Struthio camelus: one gene and its partners. The protein of the gene in region 3 purifies or fractionates together with the protein of the main gene of each other region. This does not show direct contact. Links are inferred from orthologs where the notes say so. Each region holds a gene or a part of one and is shown on either strand. Other genes may lie near its edges.

Region 1 (7,810 bases), on a different chromosome or scaffold from region 3:
ACAACTCTTAATTACACAGTGCCACAGTAAATAAACAAAGACCAACCTACAGCTCTCACTTGGCACCTGGAAAAGTCTCACCTTAGCAAGGCAGTCACAAGTGAGAACACAGTACTACAGAGCAAACACTCCATTTCTCATATCCTTAAAAGCTGCCTTTCAAGTCGGACAGGGGAAGGTATAAAACTTCTTCCACACTGAAAATTATCAGAAACCAGCCCTAGGAACAAGCATTTGAGTTAGGAAGAAATGATTACAGTTACCTGGTTCAGCAAGTAAAGGATCTTGGTAAGTATGTGCAGGCATCTTCGTGGATTTATAGGAGTCTCATTAAAGATACGGGCCTACAAACGCAACATAAATCCTGTATTATGGCGTAACCCAACAATAATAATTTTCCCCTTTAGAACAGAAATTAAAGCAATTTGTTTTCAACCAAGTGGCTTACAATTTTTTCAGCACTCTGAACAAAGGGCAATGACTCAGTTCACCAGGCTCTAGCTTAATCAAGACCAGTGCTGGACATTTGGCATTAACAACAATATTTTAAAAAAAGTATAATTTAAAATTTTGCAATTCAGTTCTTTTCATAACGTCTACTGCCCAAACACTACTCAGCACTAGTTTGTGGGAACACTGAATTGAAATGATTAAGCTCGTACTTAACAGCACACCAAAGAACTCCCTAAATATTTAATCACACATCCATCTCACCACTTGCAATTACTCTTGGAGTACATAAAAAGAAGCAGGACGATCCATTATGAACGTTATTGACCCTTTATTATATTTAGTAATATGCTGAAGGATCACAGGAGAACGGGCAGATCAGCTCTTCAGGGGTACTTTGAGGGATCCTGTGTATCCACATGGAAGGGAGAAGCCAATTCCAATCCAAGTCCCGTGCATAAAACCCTCTCGTAGAGAAAATCACATGCACTTAATTTACCTACCCTATGAATTTAAACTAACTATCCATCAAATTTAGACATCCACGTTTCCTGCAATTTGCGTTATAATTCCTTCTTAAGCTGCTAACACATCCCTGATCACAGACAGTTAAACAATATTACATGGTGACTATTCGTACCTCCTGAAGCACAGCACTCTTCTCCAGGTGCTGGAAAGGATTAGAGCCACTACCTGAATAACAAAAGAGACCTCTCAGTTAGGGAAGCACACTTATCACATATTCAAGTAACTAGAAACAACAGCCCAGAACGTGCAGGAACAATCCCTAAGCGTTAGGAAATCATCTTACAAAAACGCTACAGTGACGTTACACCTTGAATAACTGATGTTCTCCAACAACAGCTTTCAACCTACTTTCTGAAGTTGTAGGTTAAGAGTTCCAGGAAAAAAGGATGACAGATTCAACACAGCTGGAGGGTTAGGAGGAAGGAAGGTCTTTACTACTAAAGCTATCTTAAGAGCCCCTTTACACTAGACTATTCACTCTTTTTCTTCCTAGACCCCCTTTTTTCATTTCATGCACAGACAGCACTGAACACGTCAGGACGCAGCAGCTGCTAAGCATCTGCAATAACAGTATATTGATTAAGGTAGCACTGAAAAGGGCTACTTGGCAAACTTCAAAAACAGTACGACTACTACCCATCACAAAATCCTCAATACTAGTCTAGCCTCACAGAGTAACTCTTCACGCTTTGTAACAGTCCAGACCCAGACCTTGAGAAGTCACCTGTCAGGTAAAAACAAGATCTGCAAAAGGACTTCAAAAAGATTTCGGAGATGAAAACACGACGTGAAGCCCAAATCCCTCTCTTTCCCTGCTGCAGGGGAACATAAGTATCTTCCGCAGTGTAACCCCGATACCCTGTTTCGGAGAACCATCTATACCCAAAATACAGCTTGAGTCCCTCCGCTGGAAAGTGGAGGGAAGTCTTTAGTTTAGCAAGAAAGGTAAGAGAGATTGTCTTCTTTTCGGGATCTGTGAGTAGAAGCCTAACTAAAGAGCTCTGAATGAATTCGCTGGAAATGACACTTCTCAGAGCCAAGCTTTCTAATCCAGGTTCAGAGTGAAAACACCTCTTGCAATCACTTTTATGGTCAAAAAAAGGCCTCTTGCAGCCCCCGGTGCTGCCTCTGGACCCTTTTCCTACAGGAAGTCCAGTTCTTACCCCCCGCCCCGAGCAGAACGAAATCCAGAATGAAATTAAACTCAACCCAACGGGGCCTTTTTTTTCCCACGCGGCATAAGAGATCTCTGAGCAGCAGCAACAGGCCACGGATACGGCCTCAGCGATGCCAGACAGCACCAGACGCCACACGCAAGCCGAACTTCATTCCCAGATGATTTTGCAGAGCGAAAACACGAAGCTGATGGCTTCACCCCCCCCCCCCCCGCCACGGTTCCCTCCACACACGGCATCAACGGCTCCGGCAGGGGAGGAAGGCTTCGGGCTCGGCCGGGGGAGGCGCCAGGCCGCCCCCCGTGGCCGTTACTCCCCCCCACCTTTCCCTCAGCGACCGTTATTCTTCCCCTCAAACGGCCGTTACCCCCCTAGAGGCCGTTATTCCCCCCCCTCAGCGGCCGTTATTCCTCCCCCTAAACGGCCGTTACCCCCCTCCAGCGGCCATTATGTCTCCTCAGCGGCCGTTATTCCTCCTCCCAAACGGCCGTTACCCCCTCAGCGGCCATTATCTCTCCTCAGCGGCCGTTATTCCTCCCCCCAAGCGGCCGTTACCCCCCCCCCAGCGGCCATTATCTCTCCTCAGCGGCCGTTACCCGCCTCCTCCCTCCCCTCCCCAGCGGCCGTTACAGGCCGCGGCGGGCGTTGGGCTCCTACTGGTCGCTCCCCTCACGGCTGGGCAGCCCCGACCCCGCCGCCAGCCCCGTACCGGCCTCCTCGTCCTTCTTGTCAAACTTCTTAATCATGTCGCCGCCGGTCGCGCGCCCCTCCCCCCTCCCCTCCCCGAACCGCACAGCCGCGGCAGCACCCGCCGGAAGTCCCGCCCCCGGCCGGGGGAGAGAGTGGGGACCCCCCCCTCAAAAAAAAAAAAAAAAAAAAAAAAAAAAAAAAACCTCACCCTGTGCCATCCGACTGGGCCGCGTAGCTGCCACTCAACTCCCGGCACCGCCCACTCCTCCTTGGGGAGCCCGGCGCGCCGAGCGGGGCGACTTCCGCCTCGCCTGGGGCCACGCCCCCTGCCGAGCGGCGGGGCGGGGCCGGACGGGGCGGGGCCAGATCCGGGGCGGGGCCAGAGCCGACGCCGGGAGGGGGGGAGGGGCGGTTTAAAGGGCCCGCGCCGCCATTTCGCGAAGCGTTTTGGGGAGGCGTTTTGGGCGCTGCCTCCCCTCAGCGACCCCCTCCCCCTCCTCGACTGCCAGAAATCCAATTTATTGACGCCACGCTCGGCGGGACGGCTCAAGGGGCACCCAGCGCGGGACGTGGCCGGGCCTGAAGCCATCGTCATCGTCGCTGGGCCCGGTTGCGCCGCGATGGCTCCCGAAGAGCGAGGGGAGGCGCGGGGGATCCTGCCGCGGGGCCACCGCCGTCCCGTGGGGTTCGCCTCGCCGCTCCCCCGGCGCCGGGCCTGCAACGAAGCATTGGAGGGGTCCCTCAGCCCCGTGCCAAGGGCGGGCGTCGCGCCCGGCCTGGGGGCCCCTCCGCTGCACCTCTTTTTTTGGGAGGGGGTGAGGGTAGAGCGTAATGTCATCTGCGCTAATCCTCTTTTTCCTTCTTGTGCCAGCTCCGGTAAACGGCGTTTTCAAGGCGTCTGAGCGCCTTTCTCACGGGGCTCGTGAGGAACCGGCACCTCCTGCTGCAGAAACCAGGTGAAAACAGAGATCTTGACTTAAACAAAATAAAAGACCCCGCTCGACTCTCGCTCGGATTTCATGCCGACTGGATTTCACCTCGACTGGATGGTGCGGTGGTTCTTCCCCTGCCGAGACGAAAGGGCGATCCCTAACGCCTGCTCGGTGAGAAGCTTCTCTTTCGTCCGAGCGGGAGGCAAGGAGGTGCCTCCCTTTAGGAGGAGCTCGCCAGTGAGCTTTTCTTCAGGCTTTCGTCCCGCCGAAGACAGCCCTGCTGACTTGCTGCGCTCGCGTATACGGAGCCGCCGGATCCCTTCGCTCCGCGCTCCTACACACCCTCATTTTCAGCAGCGCGCTCCCTGCTCTTGGTTACCTTCGAAGCCCTCGCCCTTGGCCAGCAGTCCAGCTGCTGCTCATAGCATTAAGAGGAGAAGCCCAGCTCTTCTCAGAAGAACTGAGGCAACGGGTCCGCCCTTGAGACTGGAGATCAAGCAGTACCGAGCAGGGGGCTTGGCATTTACAGAGGGGAGGAACGGAAAGGGAAGGGCTCTGCTGAAAATGAGGATGGGGGGTCTCCCACAAGTGCTATAGGAAGGGTCTGGATGCTAAATTAGTTCGAGGTGAATTAGGGGAGCGGGTGGAGAGGTGGCAGCGACTCTGAAGAAAACAGAGGATGGAAGAAAAGGAGAACGAAAAGGCAGCGAGCAGAGCCTGTCCTGATGAGGCATTCGAAGCACGCCGTGCCTTACCTGACCTTTACTGTTCTCATGCCTCATCAGCTAGAAACCGCTGGCCCGCCTGTCCATAAAACTTTTAACTTAATCAAGTTAAAAATAGACTCGTCAAGCTGAGGTAGTTTTCGCATGCACAAAGCTTTAGCTATTACACAGAGGTCTTCGATGCCGACCAGTGACATAAGGGACGATCCGTATGGCTCCCTGTGCTGGATGTGTGCAAGCTGAAATGCTGCGTTGGTCTAGGATGGCCACAGCTTTCCTTTGGGTGCCTGAGAGGTGTCTTCACTCACCACCTTTACCAACTCGACTGATCACAGCTTTGCGGTAGGTGAAGGCGGGGTGCTGGCTGGGCTCAACCCATCCCTCCCTCCCCTTCTCAGGGAACGGTGACTTTGCACCTGGCTTAGGGGGGGCTTGGTAGCGAAGCTGTGGATATTGCCTTTTCATTTGCTTCTCAGCATAGCTTTTCGAGAACCGTCCTTCTGCTTCAAAATCGCTGTCTTTGGAGAACCTAAGGTGCGAAACGAAAACCAGACTCGGTAAAGCAGCCCGAAATCCCCGGGATAGCTCTGTGGTATTTGGCTATGCCTCTGAATGCTTGTTAGCGGTAATTTGTGCTAATGACGAAATGAGCAGCCCCTTCTGTGGGTCAGGCAGAAGAAAGCAAGTGGGCATTGCAGGGCCTTGGGCCCTCTTCCTTGACAGGTCGGGTCTACGGCAGACTCTGAGACACCTCTGGCAACCCCAAGTACCAGAAAGGCTCCATAACAGCCCACCTAGGCATCCTTCTAAATCGGGGACCTGGGAGCACAGAGAGCACAGAGGGACTGAGGAAAACATATGTGCAAGATATACCTGAACGGAAGACGTTTCCCAGCCGTTTCTGCAGGAAAAGTCGCCTTTGGCGCTGTTGGCCCTTTCTGTTGTGTCTTCTGCAAGGGAAAGTGAATCTGACTCCTGGGAGAGGTCCTCTGCAAGAGAACAGAAAATTAGACCAAAGTAGATATGAGTTATTACTGCGTGGGGTTTAAAACGTCCACCTTAACCCAAGTGAGAAGTTCCTGGCACTTGTTCAGGGTAACATAAAGAGGTTTTGTACCAGGAATGAGGGAATTTGGATGAGCAGGGTGAGAAGTAAAAGCAACCTCAGTAACTGCTGAAGGAAGGGAAGCAATGGAGGCCAAACGTGCGAAGCTGTACAGAAGTCACGTATACAATCTAATGCAAACAAGTATGTTCTCCAAAACCACCATGTGAAGCCAGCTGAGGCATATAAGTAAATAATACTCTTTGAGTTGCGCTTAGTTGTGTTCTGGTTTGCTTTTTGAGAATTGTAGTTTCTCTTTGCTGGCACAGAGACTGAAGCTCAGCTTTGAAGAAAAACTAAAGTCGGTGTAATTCCTCAGCAGTGAGCACGGGACTCATCTCACCAAACTTCCTCTAGCTAAAAGTTAGGCATCTAAATCCTGCAGGAGATGGAGGCATTAGGCTCTGCTTTGACTGTAACTCCTTAAGCAGCAGGACCAGTTTTGTTGGTTCTTTTTAACCTGGATGTGTTTTTATCTGCATATGGCCAGGGACGGGCAGCTGAGCTGCCCAGCCATGGTGATGGCACAGGAGTGAGGGCAAAGAACAAAGATGGGGCAGCGTCACTGAAGTCTGTCAGACTTCAACCCTGCAGAGAGCCAGGACCAAACCCGCAGTCCTTGGGTATGGTTTTTTGTTATGTTTAGTACAGTGTAACTGAGGAGCGCCCCCGAAAGGCAGGTCCTCTTTCCAGCCGTGGCCGCACGCACTAGGTGACTCCCTTGGGTAGCGGAGCTAAGGGATTGGCTCATTGATCAGCGGGACGTGGACCCAGTGGGTAAGGTTTGATTTCCATCCGATCATTGACACGATCTGCATCGCCCCAAAGCCACGCAATCATTGAGCCAATGTTCAGTGTCTCCCTCCCAGCTCGCTCAACGTTACTGCCTTCCTCAGAGCGGTGCCTCTGGGATCTCTCCAGTCCTAAACAGACCTTCTTAATAGCCTAGACATGAAGCTCATTACTTGCGTGTTGTTGAACTGTGACATATTTTACCGTTCCGAATTGCTCCTTGGTGAAAAACGCTGTGGGGTTAGACTTCAAGTCAGGAAGAGGATTGTTTGTTGTGATCAGTGCTGTCTTGTCTTCATTGAACATTGAAGATCGGACCATGAGCGCCATGCATCTTCTGCAGCTATTGAGGTGGTTCTGAAATGCATCATTGGTGAACGGCATAAAGTCTCTCTGCGGTATGGGACAAAAGGGAGAGCTGCGTTAGAAGGGCCAGCTCCATATATCCGTCTTACAGTTGCAGAAGTAGGAGAAGTGCCATCCTGTACCAACCCTGGGTTGCCTGGGCCTGGTCTTTGCTGAGGGGACCGCCTGGAGAGACCCCTGTTGCTACCAGAAGTGCAAAGAACATAAGAAAAAGAACTTGAAATTTGCAGTGTTTTCTCACTCCAGTGGTTTCCAACTGGAGGCTGAAGCTGGACTGTTGAATCTAACAGGCTCTGATATCTCTCTCGTGCAGTTGTCTAGCTCATGTTTGAACCCACCTAGGTTTATCTATGGCAGCTGTTCTTCAGAGGAAACCATGTAAGGGCTTAGCTCACGTATGTGCTCCAGCTTGCCTGCTGCGGAGTAGATTTATCTTGGAGAAGCATCCCTTCACCCTTCATTATGTTGGTGCAATGACCTCCCCTGGGTGGCAGAGCAGGGAGGTTGATCCTGGCACCTCCGGACATCAATATAGGCTGCTACCACCTGAGCTGCGGAAAACAATGCCCCTTCTTGAGGGCAGTGACGGCTTGGGACGCAGCAAACAGAAGGGAGCGCTTTCCGACACCTTCCTCCAGGACCACTGGGCAAGCCCGTTTGCTTCTGACGGGAACATTTCCAAGGGAGACAGCGGTAACGGCTTCCTCGTGCTGGGTTTTAACGCAGTGGGGCAGACAGCGTGTTTGCCACCGAAGGAAATGACGATCCCTTCGCTTACCAGGCTAGTAACGTCAGAATACGCTTTTTCCTGCTGAGAGCAACGCTCTTCCATGTCTGCTGCCTCCAGCTATGAAAGGAAAGCAATGCGGTCCATTAACAGGGAAACCAAAGCCCGTGTCCTGCTAAAGGCGGCAGCACCGATCTCCGCAGCCACTTCAGCTGATAGGGTGGACTGAGCTGATAAAACCTCAAAGCATGATTCTATTTATAAGCAGTCTATAAATAGTTAAGTTATTAACAATTACTTAAAAAAAAAATAACAGGCCA
Region 2 (7,506 bases), on a different chromosome or scaffold from region 3:
ATAAGTTTGTAAATGCAGTAGGTGGCGGAACAAAGCACAGACATTTACATAGGACAGGTAAAAAAGGGAAACAAGGGGAAAGGATAAAACTAATGTAAAATTCTAGTACGTGTGCGTGACTGGGTTCCAGAAACGGGTTTGAAAAAAATCTTCCTAGAAGTGCAATATTTCCCATGGCGTAGCATGTCTACAATCCCTAGAAAAGGGAGGCTGAAAAAGCTGAAAATTAGGGCAAGGCATTTAATGCACATTAAAGCAAACAGTAAGCACAGTCTACAGAGAACAATCATTAAGATTTACATTGAATCAAAGCACTTCAGGAGACACAGTAAACACTCAGATGGCTATTCAACACTGTCATATCTAACAGTGATTCCACATGAATTACACACCAAATGAAATATCAACCGCTTCCTTACCAGGCATTACTCAGGTGTAATGTTTTGAAAAGTCAGTCAACCCGTCTTTAAAAACAGCATTTATTTGATGCTCTTAGCATTTCAAACCCACTGAGGTATGCAGCTGTCTTGTTAGAAGAGCAGACTGTGTGTGTGCGTGTGTGTGTGTGTGTCAAAAACCCAGCACCAGAAGGTACAAATCAGTTTCTACCCTGTGTTAGCGTCTGCTTTGATAGCTGGGCAGCTGTGAACAGGATTGAGGGATACATGCTTGAGATTCAGTCCCTGACTCCAGCGCCTGATGATGCGGTAGGTAACTTCGGAGTACTTCGCAAATGGTTTAGTCTCTGTTTCTGTAAATCACAGGAGTACTAAAGCAGATTGCTCTAATATTTCCACAGTGCTTCTTATTGCACTCATCTCCGCACCATTCAACCCCCGGGTACAAAGCTAGTACCAACGCACCAGCGTCTCTTTCCACCGTGACAATCCGGCACCTGCCTTTGCCCTCTGCAAATTCTACGCCCTAAAACCATCTCCTGCTTTACATTGGCACAAAACGTTTTGCGGAGCAACCCGGCCGTTCAAGAGTCAGATGATTCTGGGTGGAGGTGTGGGTCCCAAAAGTCAACTGGGAGCAGCCAACCAGATGGCATCCCAACAGCGTGGGAACGGCGGGATTCCTCCAAAACGCGCGGCCTCGGACATCGTCGCTCTTGCTAGCTTCTGTGCCGCCAGCCTACCTGCCTCCCAGACGGCTTACGGCAGCTCCCCGGCGCCCGCTCCGCCTCCTGCCCCCCAACCGCAGGGGGCTCCTGCCCTGGGGCGCCCCAGGCCTCCCTCCATCACAGCCGCCCCCTCCGACGGCCGCAGCGGGGGGGGGGGGCTCCCCTCACGGCCGCCCCCTCCGACGGCCGCAGCGGGGGGGGGGGGGCTCCCCTCACGGCCGCCCCCTCCGACGGCCGCAGCGGGGGGGGGGGGCTCTCCCCTCACGGCCGCCCCCTCCGACGGCCGCAGCGGGGGGGGGGGGCTCTCCCCTCACGGCCGCCCCCTCCGACGGCCGCAGCGGGGGGGGGGGGGCTCTCCCCTCACGGCCGCCCCCTCCGACGGCCGCAGCGGGGGGGGGGGGCTCTCCCCTCACGGCCGCCCCCTCCGACGGCCGCAGCGGGGGGGGGGGGCTCTCCCCTCACGGCCGCCCCCTCCGACGGCCGCAGCGGGGGGGGGGGGCTCTCCCCTCACGGCCGCCCCCTCCGACGGCCGCAGCGGGGGGGGGGGGCTCTCCCCTCACGGCCGCCCCCTCCGACGGCCGCAGCGGGGGGGGGGGGGCTCTCCCCTCACGGCCGCCCCCTCCGACGGCCGCAGCGGGGGGGGGGGGGCTCTCCCCTCACGGCCGCCCCCTCCGACGGCCGCAGCGGGGGGGGGGGGGCTCTCCCCTCACGGCCGCCCCCTCCGACGGCCGCAGCGGGGGGGGGGGGGCTCTCCCCTCACGGCCGCCCCCTCCGACGGCCGCAGCGGGGGGGGGGGGGCTCTCCCCTCACGGCCGCCCCCTCCGACGGCCGCAGCGGGGGGGGGGGGGCTCTCCCCTCACGGCCGCCCCCTCCGACGGCCGCAGCGGGGGGGGGGGGGCTCTCCCCTCACGGCCGCCCCCTCCGACGGCCGCAGCGGGGGGGGGGGGGCTCTCCCCTCACGGCCGCCCCCTCCGACGGCCGCAGCGGGGGGGGGGGGGCTCTCCCCTCACGGCCGCCCCCTCCGACGGCCGCAGCGGGGGGGGGGGGGCTCTCCCCTCACGGCCGCCCCCTCCGACGGCCGCAGCGGGGGGGGGGGGGCTCTCCCCTCACGGCCGCCCCCTCCGACGGCCGCAGCGGGGGGGGGGGGGCTCTCCCCTCACGGCCGCCCCCTCCGACGGCCGCAGCGGGGGGGGGGGGGCTCTCCCCTCACGGCCGCCCCCTCCGACGGCCGCAGCGGGGGGGGGGGGGCTCTCCCCTCACGGCCGCCCCCTCCGACGGCCGCAGCGGGGGGGGGGGGGCTCTCCCCTCACGGCCGCCCCCTCCGACGGCCGCAGCGGGGGGGGGGGGGCTCTCCCCTCACGGCCGCCCCCTCCGACGGCCGCAGCGGGGGGGGGGGGGCTCTCCCCTCACGGCCGCCCCCTCCGACGGCCGCAGCGGGGGGGGGGGGGCTCCCCTCACGGCCGCCCCCTCCGACGGCCGCAGCGGGGGGGGGGGGCTCCCCTCACGGCCGCCCCCTCCGACGGCCGCAGCGGGGGGGGGGGGCTCCCCTCACGGCCGCCCCCTCCGACGGCCGCAGCGGGGGGGGGGGCTCCCCTCACGGCCGCCCCCTCCGACGGCCGCAGCGGGGGGGGGGGGCTCCCTCCATAGCTGCCCCCTCTCTCCCCCCCCCGCCGTCTCCCCTCACAGCTCGCTCTCCCCGGCCGCCCCTCACCCGACTCCTCGTCCTTCTTGTCGAACTTCTTCAGCATGGTGCTTCTGGGTGGGTGGGTGGGTGCGAGCGCCCCTCGCCGTGCCCTGCCGTGCCCGTCCCGCCGCGCCGGTGTCGCTGTCGCCGCCGCCCGCCCCTTCCTGCCGCCCGCCCCTTCCTGCCAGCCTGTCACTGCCACCACCGCCGGCCGCACTGCGCAGGCGCGGCCCGCCCCGCCCGGACGTGGCCTCCCGGCTGGCCCCGGGCGGGGCGGGGCGAGGGGGGGGTGCAGTTCAGGGGGCGGGGCGAGAGGAGGTGTGCCCATGGAGACGGCGGTGATTGACAGGAGGGGCGGGGATGGGGAGGGAGGGGCGAGGCCTGATTGGCGGGGAGGAGCCTGGAGTGTGGAATGGGACTGGGACGCTGCGACTGGCGGGGGGCACACTGGGATAGGGGCACCGGGACTGGGGGCATTGGGACTCAGGGGGGCACACTGGGCTGGGGGGGGTATACTGGGCTGGGGGGGGCGCACGGGGATGGGGGCGCTGGGACTGGGGAGAGTGAGAAAGATGAAGAACGCCCCGCCGCGCCTCTATGGGCGGTGCTTTGCTAGAGCGCCGCCGCGCGGCAGGCCCATAGAGATGGAGCGGGGCACAGGGCGCGCCGCTGGGAGGGCTAATCTCCATGGCAACAGGAGGACTCCTTCGCCTCCTCCCCCCCCCCCCCAACCATCCCTCACCGCAGCCGCCATCACGTTCAGGCCTGCGCTCGGTGCCTTGAGAGCCAGAGCCGCGACGGCGACCCCGGGACCCCGCAGCGGGCTCCCTCCCTCGCCCCACAACCCCTCCAACAGCGGGGATCCCCCCTCTGCCTCCCGGGGTCCCCCTGCCATCTCCCCCAGAGCCCCTCGGGGGGGGGGGCAGAGCACGCCGCCATCGCAGCGTCGCGATCCCTGTCGGAGGCCGAGGGACAAAGTCCGGAGGTGGAATTAGCCCCCGGCATGTCACAATATCCCACAGCCAGGTGGCTGCTACCTGCGAGTCACGTTTGCAAACGTGTTTCGTTTATCAACAGCGCCGCGGGCTGCTAAGGGTTTGTGATTTTTTGGACTCTGGCTCCCCAAATCCGACTTTGGGAAGCGCGATTGAGTGCAGACCTCCGGCGCTGCGCTCACGCTCGCTTTACTGCCGGCCTCCGCTTCGCGTCGGGCTTTATCGTCCTGCCACCGTGACTGGGCGCACCGAGCTGCCGGCGGGACGTGTGCCCGGGCAAGGTGTGTGCGCAAGCCGCAGAAAACGGAGGTCAGAAGGGACCAATTTTATCATACGCTACCGGAGTTGGAATCACCAGGGCTGCTGGCACTACGCTTCCCCTCCAACGCATCCTCGCTGAAGGATTTACAGTGTATATATACGTTTATATATATACAGAGGGCCTCGAAAAAGCCCTGTATCGTTATTTTTTACTACTGCCTCTCCGGCTGGGGTGATTATTGCGCCTGCTGCCTTCCTCGGGCCTGCCAGCGGCTGCCCCACCTCCCCGCACAGCGCACACCACCCGGATCCCCCCACCCCCCGGGCCATTCCGCCTCTTCAATCTCTTGCAGATTAGCAAATTAGGCGCATCGACCCTGCCGCCGCGAGAGCGCGCCCGCCCGCGCCGCTCCGCCGCCCGCCGCCGCCGCCAACCAGCGAGCCGTCCCGGGGCGGCGCCGCTGCGCTCTTAGGGCCTGCGCGGCGCCGCCGTGCCCGCGGCGGCGGCGGAGGAGGAGGAGGAGGTGGCAGCAGCCATGGAGGTGCAGGTAGCGCCGCTGCGGGCCTGGGACGACTTCTTCCCCGGCTCCGACCGCTTCGCCCGGCCCGACTTCAAGGACATCTCCAAATGGAACAACAGGGTGGTCAGCAACCTCCTCTACTACCAGACCAACTACCTGATGGTGGCCGCCACCGTCGTCTCCATCGTGGGGTCAGTGACTGCGCGTCGCCCGCGGGCCGGGCCTGGCCCGTGAGGGGGCCGGGGGGGCCCGTGAGGGGGGCTGGGGGCGGCTCCCCCCGCGGCTGCCCTGATTTCGGAGCCAGGAGGCTCCCGCAGAGGCAGGGAAACGGCCTGTCGCCTTCTCCTCCTCCCCATCAACCGCCGGGCCGCCTCTCGTCACCTATAACGTTTCAAAAGCAACGCCCCGGTTGCAGCTCTCTTTGTGTATATGTGTCTGTTTATTATTATTATTTTACTTTTTTTTTTTTTAAAGGTGGGTGAGCGTTTAGAGTAGGGTTCAGGACGTTTATTTTATCTGGGGAGGGGGGGACAGGTGACAAATCTGAGAGCGATCGCTCTCCTCCGTTGAGGCTGCCCAGGCGGCTCGGCACAAACGTGAGAGCCCCAGGTACGGAGGGGTTTTTGCAGGGCATGGTATGGCTGGTAGAAAGCGGTGATGGGTTTAAGTGCAGGATGTAGCTGCTCTCTGAAAAACTAAATTGCATCCTCTGCAGTGACCTAGCACTTCCTGCTTAAATCTGTCTAAACTCTGCTTTGGATTAAAAATAATAATAATTCTGTTGTATGTTATAGTTTTACATTGATTTAAAGGGAACAGAATGAACTTCTCTTACTCCTGAGCTAACTCATATTGAAGAGCTTCAAATATGAAATGCATCAGGGTACACGTTCATTTCATTTGGGGCAGGGTGATGTGCTGGTAGTTTGTTCTCATCAGGCTCGGTTTTCCTAAAGAGTTTTGGGAAATCACCTTCTAACCATCTTTTGAATTAAGGCCTATGTGACTGTCTTTCGAGCGTTGCTCTAAGAGCTTTTTGACCCAAGATCTTACACAAGAGATGCAGCAGAGCCTGTGATGATTAAGCTTTTAATATGGAAGTAGGAATACATTTCCTATGCTCTCTGTAATGGGGGTAAATGCTTACACTGAAGGATTGCCCAGCCATGAGGCTGAAGTGGCCTTGGCAGCAGTGTATGTTGCAAAGGCTTAAAATACATCTTCTAAATCCAGTTTTTGTTAAACAAGTTGTATCTAGTTACAGCTTTTAAAGCTGTTGACCCAGACTCTCAATTAAGATGCTTTGGGTTGCAGTGAGGTTTTTGAGCTATTTTTTGTGAAAGCAGGGGCCCCAAAACACTGCATTTTCTTCTTAATTTTTGGTGGGGATGTGGTACAGTCAACTCACTAGATTATCAAAGTGGTAAAAAGAGGCTTCCATGCTCTTGCCATTCTTGCACCGCTATTGGTTTAAACTTCTGTGTCATCTGCCCTTGTTTAGCAGTGAGATATTGTAGCGAGTCCTAAATGACTAGGCAAAGCAAAGTGGTTCTGGAAAGCAAGGGGGAAAACTCATCTCCCCAAGGGAGCTTGGTGTGGTGGTGGGGAACAGTTTTGATATCCCTGGCTTGGAAAACTGAAATAGTAATAACTCTTATTCAGTCTTCTAAATTCCTTTCCCCTTCTGTACTCTCATCTCTTCTGTTCAGATCAAGTGTGAGGCCTCTCCTGCTTATTTCCAGCTCAATGTTTCTACCTTGCTGGGAGGGAGGGGAGGAAGGTGGAAGGGAGCCACAGGAGGTAAAGATTACTATCAGAACAACTAGCTCTTAATATTCAGTGGTAATGCACTGAGTTAAAAATTCTGGACCAAAAAACAGTTGGAACTGGATCTTAATCTCAGATTTATTCATTGTTTATTGCACTTCTTAGAGCCCTTGATATATGACAAATCTGATTCTTCTAACACTGAAGTAAAAGGGGAAGGGAGAAGAACTCTAAAGGGAGCAGGGTAACTCTTCAATAGAGGAAAAACTATCCACTGCTTCTATTAAACGGTTTTCACTTGGCCATATCATGGTTTTGGGAGAAAGGCAAAGAAAGTTCTTCTTAGTCATCGATATAAATTTATCAGTTGTAATCTTGCACTTTGTTCTGTACCGCACAGGAATTCCTGAGTGATAAATGAGGAATCATGACTTTTCAGGAACTCCAGAACTTTATGCAGGCCTAGGGACAGGATTATGCAAACTGCTAGTGCAGTGGTCGTCTTGTGATCAGAACTGTCTTGGCTCATAACCAACTATACCTGCTCTTAAACCGTCAAATTAGAAATACAGATGTGTAACGCAGAGATAATGTTTTCAGCATTGTAATAGCGTGGCACTTGTGGTGGTGCTGGGCTAACATAGAAAGTGTAGCCTGTAGCTTTCTTGATGTTGGAAGTACAGTGCTTATTGCCATGGTTTCAATTTACTGCCTCTCGTGCAACAAATTTGACATCTCCAACCTTTCACCCTCTCTCTACGAGGTATGGAATAACCTTAAGTGTAGTGGAATTTTAATACCTGCTGCATGGTTCCCTTGTCTCTCCCCTTCCAGTTGCTTTCTCTGATAGCTACTGTTACGTGTAAATGATGTTTGATGCTTTACCATCATGTGTATTGCTTTCAACCTACAGATGTAAGCAGGGAATAATAAGTCTGTGAACAAGAAACTAAAACTACTTCCTTCCTTAAAAAAGAAAAAACAACCTTTAAGAATGAGTCAGGACTGGGGTGCTCATTCTTCTTGCAACTCTGTTGCAATAGACCACTTTAGGGGGGGGGGGAATGTTACTAAAGGAAACTGCCCCTTCTCCCAGTTGTGAGGGCACTGATGATGATGCTCCATTCTTGCCTTGTCACTGTGAGTGCTGTA
Region 3 (7,604 bases):
GCATTAATGATTATCCTATTGCTGATTTTAAGGAAATTGGCAGTTTGTGCTCCCTTAACACCTTTTAAAAATGACTAAACCTATCTCTGAGACTTGAAAATACAAGCTGACAGAGGTCCCTTATTCAAATGCAGACGTTCAGTACAAACAAATCTAAACCCACATGGCTGAAGTTTGGCAGAATTACACATCGAAAAGGCAGGCCTGCAATGAAAGTGTCAGGTGATATTATTTTCGGTAGCTTCACATATAAAACTTCCAATCCTTTCTTTACCTACTGCAGTATCTCTTTTCTTTGTATGCAGCTTGTATATTATTGTACTTGAAGCAACAGCTAACATCTGAAACCATCAGTTTATGCACAACTGGGCCACTACTGTTACCACACTGGTAGGTAGCTGGGTTTTAGAGAAAGGGATATTAGCTTTTTCTGATATGAGCCCTACAGTTATTTCAGTTCTGCTGGAAGTTCTGATTTCTTTACTGGTATTTTAATTCCTCGTTATCTTAGTGAGTTTAATAATTTGATCTCTCTATACGAGTCATGAATGTATCCAAGATTAGTATGCTCCCATGAGCATGCGAAGAGACACAGGCTGGATACCTTAGACTGAAAGAGACAAACAATATTCTGTAAGAACGCTGCATCCCTGATCTGCAACAAAGTGAAATCATACAGCTTCAAGGAAGCTTTTAATTCAGATTTACAGTGGGCTTTGTCTCCCAGCTTTGCCACCTAAATGTTAATAATGCCCTTTCTTTAAACACACTGTGTTCCATTAGTCCTATCACCCTCCTAGTTAACGCTGCAATGAGTTTTACTTCAGTTCACTGCACTGCAACTACTAACCCTTGCAAATAAACAAGATTTCACACTAAGTCTGCATATGAAATAAACACTTTGCATTATACTGTAGCGTTGACCCAATTACATAAAAGCCTCTGTGTATTCTAAAAGAAAGGATCTAGTGAGAATAATGTAGTGATTCATGTTAGAAAATAACTCAGAATATTTGGGAAATTAGTAAGCAATCCTTAATGCCACCTCCAGCTAATAAAATCAGTCAAACTCAGAGATGCTGGCAAACTGTGATCCAAAGCAAACAACAGTGATCCTAAGAGGCATTACATAACTCTGTAGAGAATATAAGCTATCACTGAAATCTGGAGAAACGAATGAGAATTTACATAATAATGGTGGTCTCCTGGGTAGAACAATCAAGGCAGGGAAACATTAGACTCTCAAGACTGAGTTACCTACTGGAACAAGCAGTAGCACACACTATATTTATTAAATCAAGTTTGCGTCTGGCTAGGAACACCTGTTAGATTTTTGCTTGAATATCAATTTCCATGCACTGGAGCTAGATTTGACTTTATCTGCAGACCTCTACTCTTTAGCTGAGAGAGAAACTAAATGCACCGGTGTTCATGTTTAGCCTTCTCCTTCTCTGTTAAAATTCATTTGGTACGCTGAGGAGAAACTATAGGTGCTTGTGATTGGTACCCCAAACTACTTTAATTGTTTTCTTGGGAAGATCAATGATGTACAATTTTGTATCTCAAAATGCTCTATCCTGCTTCTAGAAGACTTCTTTTGCCTTACAAATTCAAAAGTTGCCAATAATCTCATAGCCAAAAGGATCTAAGATGAGTTCTCTCAAAACATACGGAATAATGGATTGGCCATCCCGAGAAACAGGAGTCTTGTACAGAGGGAAACTACCTGCAGGCTGAAACACCACTGTAGTGACTTCCTCCTTACTAATTTTACACTTCTTGCTGTAATTCCATTATAGCTGCGGTATTTCTAACTAAATCACCTATAATGAAGGTGTGCAAAATTCCACTATCACAGGACTGCAATACGTTTGTTAGTTTTAAAGAATTTAATGTGTCAGAATGTAATTGCTTCAACTGCCAGCACTTAGCTAGCCAGCTATATAGAACACACTTTTTAAAACAAGAAAATTCCTTTCTAATGCTTTGTGTTTAGTCTTGCAAGAGATTTACTAGTAGCTTTGCTCATACAGAATGTGTATCCTGCAACTCCATATTACCAACTCCTTTATTATAGACACACATCCACACCTTACAGACACGCAATTTGTGTTTCTACAAACAACAAACTTGTAGAATGGTACTAGCCATTGCATTGTAAACATTCTCGGACAGCTTTACCCTGTTTTCTTAAGGAAGCAAGGCCCGTGACTGCACTCTTGCTGATGTGTAAGAGTCATTCTCTCCTCCTCCCTCTCCCTGTCTATGGTGTTAAAGGTTTTGAGTAGCCACAAAAATAACAAAGAGAGAGAAAGATAAACCCAAATTAGTGCACTTCTCCCAGAATAAAGATAATGATAGACTTTTAACAGGACCATGAGGGAATAGCCAACTGTTCAGAGTACGCGTTGCTCCAAAATAAGCTGCTGCAAGTGTTACTTACTTAGCCAAAGAAGCTGGGGTATGAAAGGGGCAATGGGAAACCTAAGAGCAGCACAAAATCCACAAGAAGCAAAGTTTCCTCTGTTCTACTACTTTTGGAAGGAAACATTTTGTGTGCTTTCTTACCTGAAAAACTTCTCTCAACAGATAGGCATAAGAATGGCTGCTGGGTCACATAAAGGAACTCAGAGTAGAGATTTTCTTCTTATCATTCAATAGAAATGTTTTTCTATTGAATGTCTTTTTAGAGATGGCCCAAGGGCTTGTTGCAGTCACTTTGCCTATCACCCAGGTGAAATAATGGCTAATAAGGAGGATACAGAGGGAAAAAACATGAAAGAAAAGCGTATACAAAATAATACTCCTCTGTATAGCCATTTAATTTACAGCAATTTGTGGATCATGATCTTGAGTCAGAACTGGTATCCTTGTGTTGAATAGCTGGGACAGACATTCCATATCCTTATAGTATAGAAATTTTTTTTTCATTGCTTCTCTCCTACTGTAAGGTCATCCTTGTCCCTGTGCCTCCCTTCTGAATTTAGTTCTGTTGCTATAACTTTCCAGGAGGAGTTGATGCAAACAGCAAACAAATTTCTTCCTTTCCCAGCTGTTATTGTCTTGACTAACTAGCTCTGTCTCTTCACCTGTCACTTACCTTCCTTGCTATCTTCGATTCTTCTATAATACCCTCATCTGTCTCTGGCCAGGACCTTGTTGAGCTCTTCGAGGGAAAATATACAATGTGTGTTTTTCTACCCCCACTACCTATGTTCTCTAGTACTGACGTCTTTCCCCTATATTTCTTCTTTCAGTGTTCCAGCCTGTTCCAAACACCTCAGCTGTCTAAAAACCATGAATTAGACTCGAAAATCATAAATTTTACTCACATCATTACTTTTAAGCAAGCTTGTTTAGATTCTACATCCTGAAATTCTGTACTCAGATGTGTTGAAGCATTTTTCCACAATCACTACTATAAACAGGCTTTAAATGAAAGCTGAAATTCTATGTTCTCATGTATACATGAGCTTAAACTCACCCATAACTGCTGAAAACATTGCAACCCTTCTTTTGCTTCTGGCATCTCTCTTCTCGTTCACTCATCAGGCCTGTGTCTTTCTAATTTTAGGTATCTGTCTTTCTGTCTTTGCTCTCTTGGAGTGAAAATAGCAAGAGGTAAAGTAACCTCTCACCCTTTTGTTTCTATGTCCATCAAACCGTGCGCGCTCCAGGGCAATGCAATCCTTCTTCCTGCGTTGTAGGATAGAGCACAGTGGGCTCTCAATTCTCAACTGAGTGCTTAAATTGTATCATCGTAAGCATTTTCTTTAACGGAAACCTAACGAATATAACTATCCTTCTTGTAATTTCTCTCCTTTGTAGAATTAAATGGGGCTTGTAATCTTCAACTGAAGATGGAACTTTTATCTGGCAAACAGTGCTGGAGCAGAATTTTTCAGCGATGGTTCCCCGTGTTTTGGTGCTGCCTGAAATTTCACATTCACCATAATGTTTCTAAGACACTCTGTTTTGGGTAACAGCATGGGTAACTTTAGGTGACAAAAAGATTTATAAAAGGAAAAACCTGCCAGGCAGTGTTTCACATCTACAGGGTCTGCAGGACTGACCAAGATCAAGTCTTTTCACGGCCCGAGAGAGGTCAGCTGGGCTCCTTCCAGCAGCCTGCTCCAGGGCCCCGCTGCGCTCACCACACGGGCCCCAGCCCCTCTGGCCAATGCCACCCTGAAGTGCTTGGAGAGACCACGCTGAGCAGGCAAAGGTGACCAAAGGACCTTTCTCTTCCCCGGGTCGCTCACACTTGGGCAAAGCACACCGGCTTTCCACCGCCGTCTCTAACCGTGAGGGGACCTCACGCGAAGGATTGTCCCTGAGGACGGTAAGGGCCCCACCGCAGCGCCCGCCACGCACAGCGCAAACGCCGCCGCAGCCGTTAGGACCGTTACGGCCGCTCTGAGGCGACAGCACGCGCGCGCTCCCGCTCCCGCTCCCGCGCCCACTACAGCTCCCAGCGTGCCCCGCGACAGCAGCCGGGAGGGGGGAGAGGCAACTACATGTCCCGGCATGCCGTGGGAGGGCTGCTGCCGTATCGCGAGGGGCGAACTCTCGCGCCGGTCCTCTCGCGAGAGCAGCGGGGCGGAAGCTCCACGTCGGTCGGTCGGTCGGTCGGCGGTGGCTGGCTGGGGCTGAGCGACACCTGGGCGCTGCCGCGGGGCCACTCGGGGCGATGGTGAGCGGGGCCGGGGGCCCGCGGTCACCGCCGGGGCCGGGCCGGGCCGGGCCGGGCCGGGCCCCGCTGTGTGAGGGCGAGCGCGGCGCGGCGCGGCGCGGGGGGCGCGGCGGGGGGCGCCGGTGCAGGCCGGGCCGGGCCGGGCCGCGGAGGTGGTGTCGGGCGCTCCCAGAAGCGGCGCAGGCGGGGGTCAGTGTGGGGAGGAGCGCCCTGCCGGGGGCCGCGCAACGCCACCGCCGAGGGGCGGTTTGGGGCCCGCCGGGGGCCCCCTCGGGCACGAGGCAGGGGCGAGTCGGTGCCCGGTCGTCTCTTGCGGCGGTGGCGTCGGCGGGCAGACCCCCCGGCTGCCGAAGTAGCTGCCGTGGAGGTTACCGTTAGCCGCTTATGTTAGAGAAGTTTCAGGGAGCGAAGGCAGAATCGCATGCGCTTTGTCTGGCCTGCTTTTGTAGTGTTTATCGCAGAAACGGTAAACCACAAGTTCGTTCCCTGCCGTCAGGTGTCATGACTGCAGGTTACATGATAGCGAGGTGTTTTTTCCTCCTTATGCTGCCTAACACACGCACCTGCAGGTTTTGCTGGTTTTGTTCTGCTACTCAGGACGAGGCACGTAACGTGTTCAGCGATCAGAGAGGACCCGTCCGGTTCTGAGATGAGATGCTGTTCAACAGCGTCTTGCGTCACCCTTGAAAATCCTTAGGCTATTTTTGAGCTGACGAGCCTTAAGTAAACTCAACAGTTTTTGAGTGTCTGGACAAAGTTATAGTGCCTCAGAAGTTTTAGAAAATCGCTTTGCTGTACTTCGTGCCTTTTGAATTTTAGGTACTTTAGCATTAGACTGCCAGTGATGAAAGTGGAAAGTCACAGCCTGCCTTTTTAATAGGAAGACTTAAACTTTTCCTTTCTACCGGTTTTTACTACATAGTATTACATCTGAAAACTTGTTAGAGTAGAAGAACTTGGTGAATGCAAATTGGTAATGGGCAAGTGTTGTTACATTATTGGTTCTTTCAGTTGTGATAACTAGCTTCTCCACCTGTATTTTCAAGTGAAAGAGAAGGAAGACTTGTATTTTAATGTTTGTATTAGAAGCAAATTCTCTTAACTCTGATTTAGTAGTTCAGGGACATCAGGGAGCTTTGTAAGGAGCTGTGCGGTGCATCTTTTCTTTGCCTGTGCTGTAGATACTACTTACAGTAAGAAAACACTTAAACGTTCACAAAAGTAAATTAAAGGGACCCATTGATATTGGTAGGGATGTGTTTTCAGAAACTTCTACAAAAACAGGCAGACAGGCAGATAAGAGAGAAGTAGCCTCCTTTCTGAAAAGCAGGATTGGCTCCAGTTGTTTTAAGGTTTAACTTCAGCTTTCCTTTCCTTCCATGATGTTTTTATGTTGAATTTATGTTGGAATAACTCTGGTATTGTGAACTTTTTTTCGTTTCTAGCCTCTCCGACTTGATATAAAGCGGAAACTAACTGCTCGGTCTGACCGGGTGAAGAGCGTAGACTTGCATCCCACAGAGCCATGGATGTTGGCTAGCCTTTACAATGGCAGTGTCTGCGTTTGGAATCATGAAACACAGGTGATGTTTTTGTTTTTCCTCTATTGTGTATGAAATACATGTTCTGATGCTAGATACACAAGAAGGATCTTAAATTACTACAAATAATTAATATAATTCTTTTTTTTTCTTAGACGCTGGTGAAGACCTTTGAAGTGTGTGACCTGCCAGTGAGAGCTGCCAAATTTGTGGCAAGAAAGAACTGGGTTGTTACAGGAGCTGTAAGCTATCTTCTTCTTGTGATTTCTGTATATAGTACCATTTTCTGTGATTTGTTTTCATGGCATTCCTTTGTATGTCACTAAGTAGTAGGATTTCATATGAATTTGTAGAAGAGAGAAATAATTCATTATGGTTACCCAGAGATTTTCTCCTTTAAGTTAGCTTTAAAACTTTTAAAAAAAAAAAAAAAAAAAAAAAGAGAGAGAGCATAATGATGTGGCTAATTCTAGATCTGGTGCACAGTAAATCTGGATTCAACTTTAGCTGTCAGCTTGAACGCATTCAGCACCCAAATTTGGCTAAATGTTAGTAGTGCTGCTGTGACTAAGCTGAAACGCTAGACCATCCAAGGTAAAATGAGTTAAAAGTTGCTTTCTGCTTTTGTTCCCGTTTATATTTAAAATAAAAAGTTTAAGAGACGTTTTGTTGGTCTCTAGAAAAATACTTTGCTTTTATTCAGTTAGGTTAGTACTTTAAGCTGAATAGTTGTATTCTAAGCTTGATAACATGTATTTTGTGATGGAATGAACATCGACCAGTTATTCTATATTATTATTACGGCAAACTGAAACAGTAATTATGTCTCAGTTAAAACATTAACAGTATCTTAATGCAGTAACTTCTTACAATTGCATGTATGGAGGCCTCTCCAATATGTTCTTGAATCAGCCTTTAGATTGGTGGTTAAAAAGTTGTACGTGGAAAGCATAAGTAAGTAGACACAGTTGGCTGAAAAGTCAAAGTTTTCTCCACTTATTTTTTTAATCTAAATTGAAGTAATACTTAAAATTTTTATCTTTAAATGTTTTCATTCTAGTCTTCTGCCATAAGAGAGAGAGTAAACAATTTCTTGTTGTTATGTCACGTTTTGTTGCCATGTCACAGTTACTTCAAGTAGGCATAAGTCAGCACTGTTGCCTAAGAGGTTCCATGCTGTTGCTTCTCTACCAGCACAAGAGTTCAAACAGCTGTGTGGGAACTGGCTTGGGAACTGATCCAAGTTAACTGCATTTTTATTTTTGCCAGATTAATTTCACCTAGGTTGGTTCTTCAAAGAACTGATTCACGGTACAGTTGTGCCAGTCTTTGATTTGCCAAGGGAGGCTGTGATGCAGTGGCAAGATGTA

The links.
Region 1: the proteins of COPB2 (region 3) and COPG2 fractionate together in Homo sapiens (co-fractionation; 4 studies listed by BioGRID and IntAct, with this or other methods). This does not show direct contact. The link is inferred for Struthio camelus from reciprocal best matches to the Homo sapiens genes COPB2 and COPG2.
Region 2: the proteins of COPB2 (region 3) and COPG1 purify together in Homo sapiens (co-immunoprecipitation; 8 studies listed by BioGRID and IntAct, counting the BioPlex papers as one, with this or other methods). This does not show direct contact. The link is inferred for Struthio camelus from reciprocal best matches to the Homo sapiens genes COPB2 and COPG1.

Annotation. Positions count from the first base shown.
Region 1 is NC_090942.1:2,040,156-2,047,965, forward strand, and holds the start of COPG2 (coatomer subunit gamma-2), read right to left. Parts: upstream 3,005-7,810; 5' UTR 2,900-3,004; coding exon 2,863-2,899; intron 2,297-2,862; exon of another isoform or gene 2,219-2,296; coding exon of another isoform or gene 2,188-2,218; intron 1,144-2,187; coding exon 1,091-1,143; intron 345-1,090; coding exon 264-344; intron 1-263. Other genes in the region: TSGA13 (testis-specific gene 13 protein), read right to left, coding at 4,801-5,029, 5,374-5,489, 6,602-6,781. UniProt on the Homo sapiens protein: The coatomer is a cytosolic protein complex that binds to dilysine motifs and reversibly associates with Golgi non-clathrin-coated vesicles, which further mediate biosynthetic protein transport from the ER, via the Golgi up to the trans Golgi network.
Region 2 is NC_090955.1:6,908,267-6,915,772, reverse strand, and holds the start of COPG1 (coatomer subunit gamma-1), read right to left. Parts: upstream 3,005-7,506; 5' UTR 2,875-3,004; coding exon 2,838-2,874; intron 1-2,837. Other genes in the region: ARL6IP5 (PRA1 family protein 3), read left to right, coding at 4,603-4,778. UniProt on the Homo sapiens protein: The coatomer is a cytosolic protein complex that binds to dilysine motifs and reversibly associates with Golgi non-clathrin-coated vesicles, which further mediate biosynthetic protein transport from the ER, via the Golgi up to the trans Golgi network.
Region 3 is NC_090950.1:9,825,700-9,833,303, reverse strand, and holds the start of COPB2 (coatomer subunit beta'), read left to right. Parts: upstream 1-4,590; 5' UTR 4,591-4,690; coding exon 4,691-4,693; intron 4,694-6,138; coding exon 6,139-6,276; intron 6,277-6,389; coding exon 6,390-6,476; intron 6,477-7,604. UniProt on the Homo sapiens protein: The coatomer is a cytosolic protein complex that binds to dilysine motifs and reversibly associates with Golgi non-clathrin-coated vesicles, which further mediate biosynthetic protein transport from the ER, via the Golgi up to the trans Golgi network.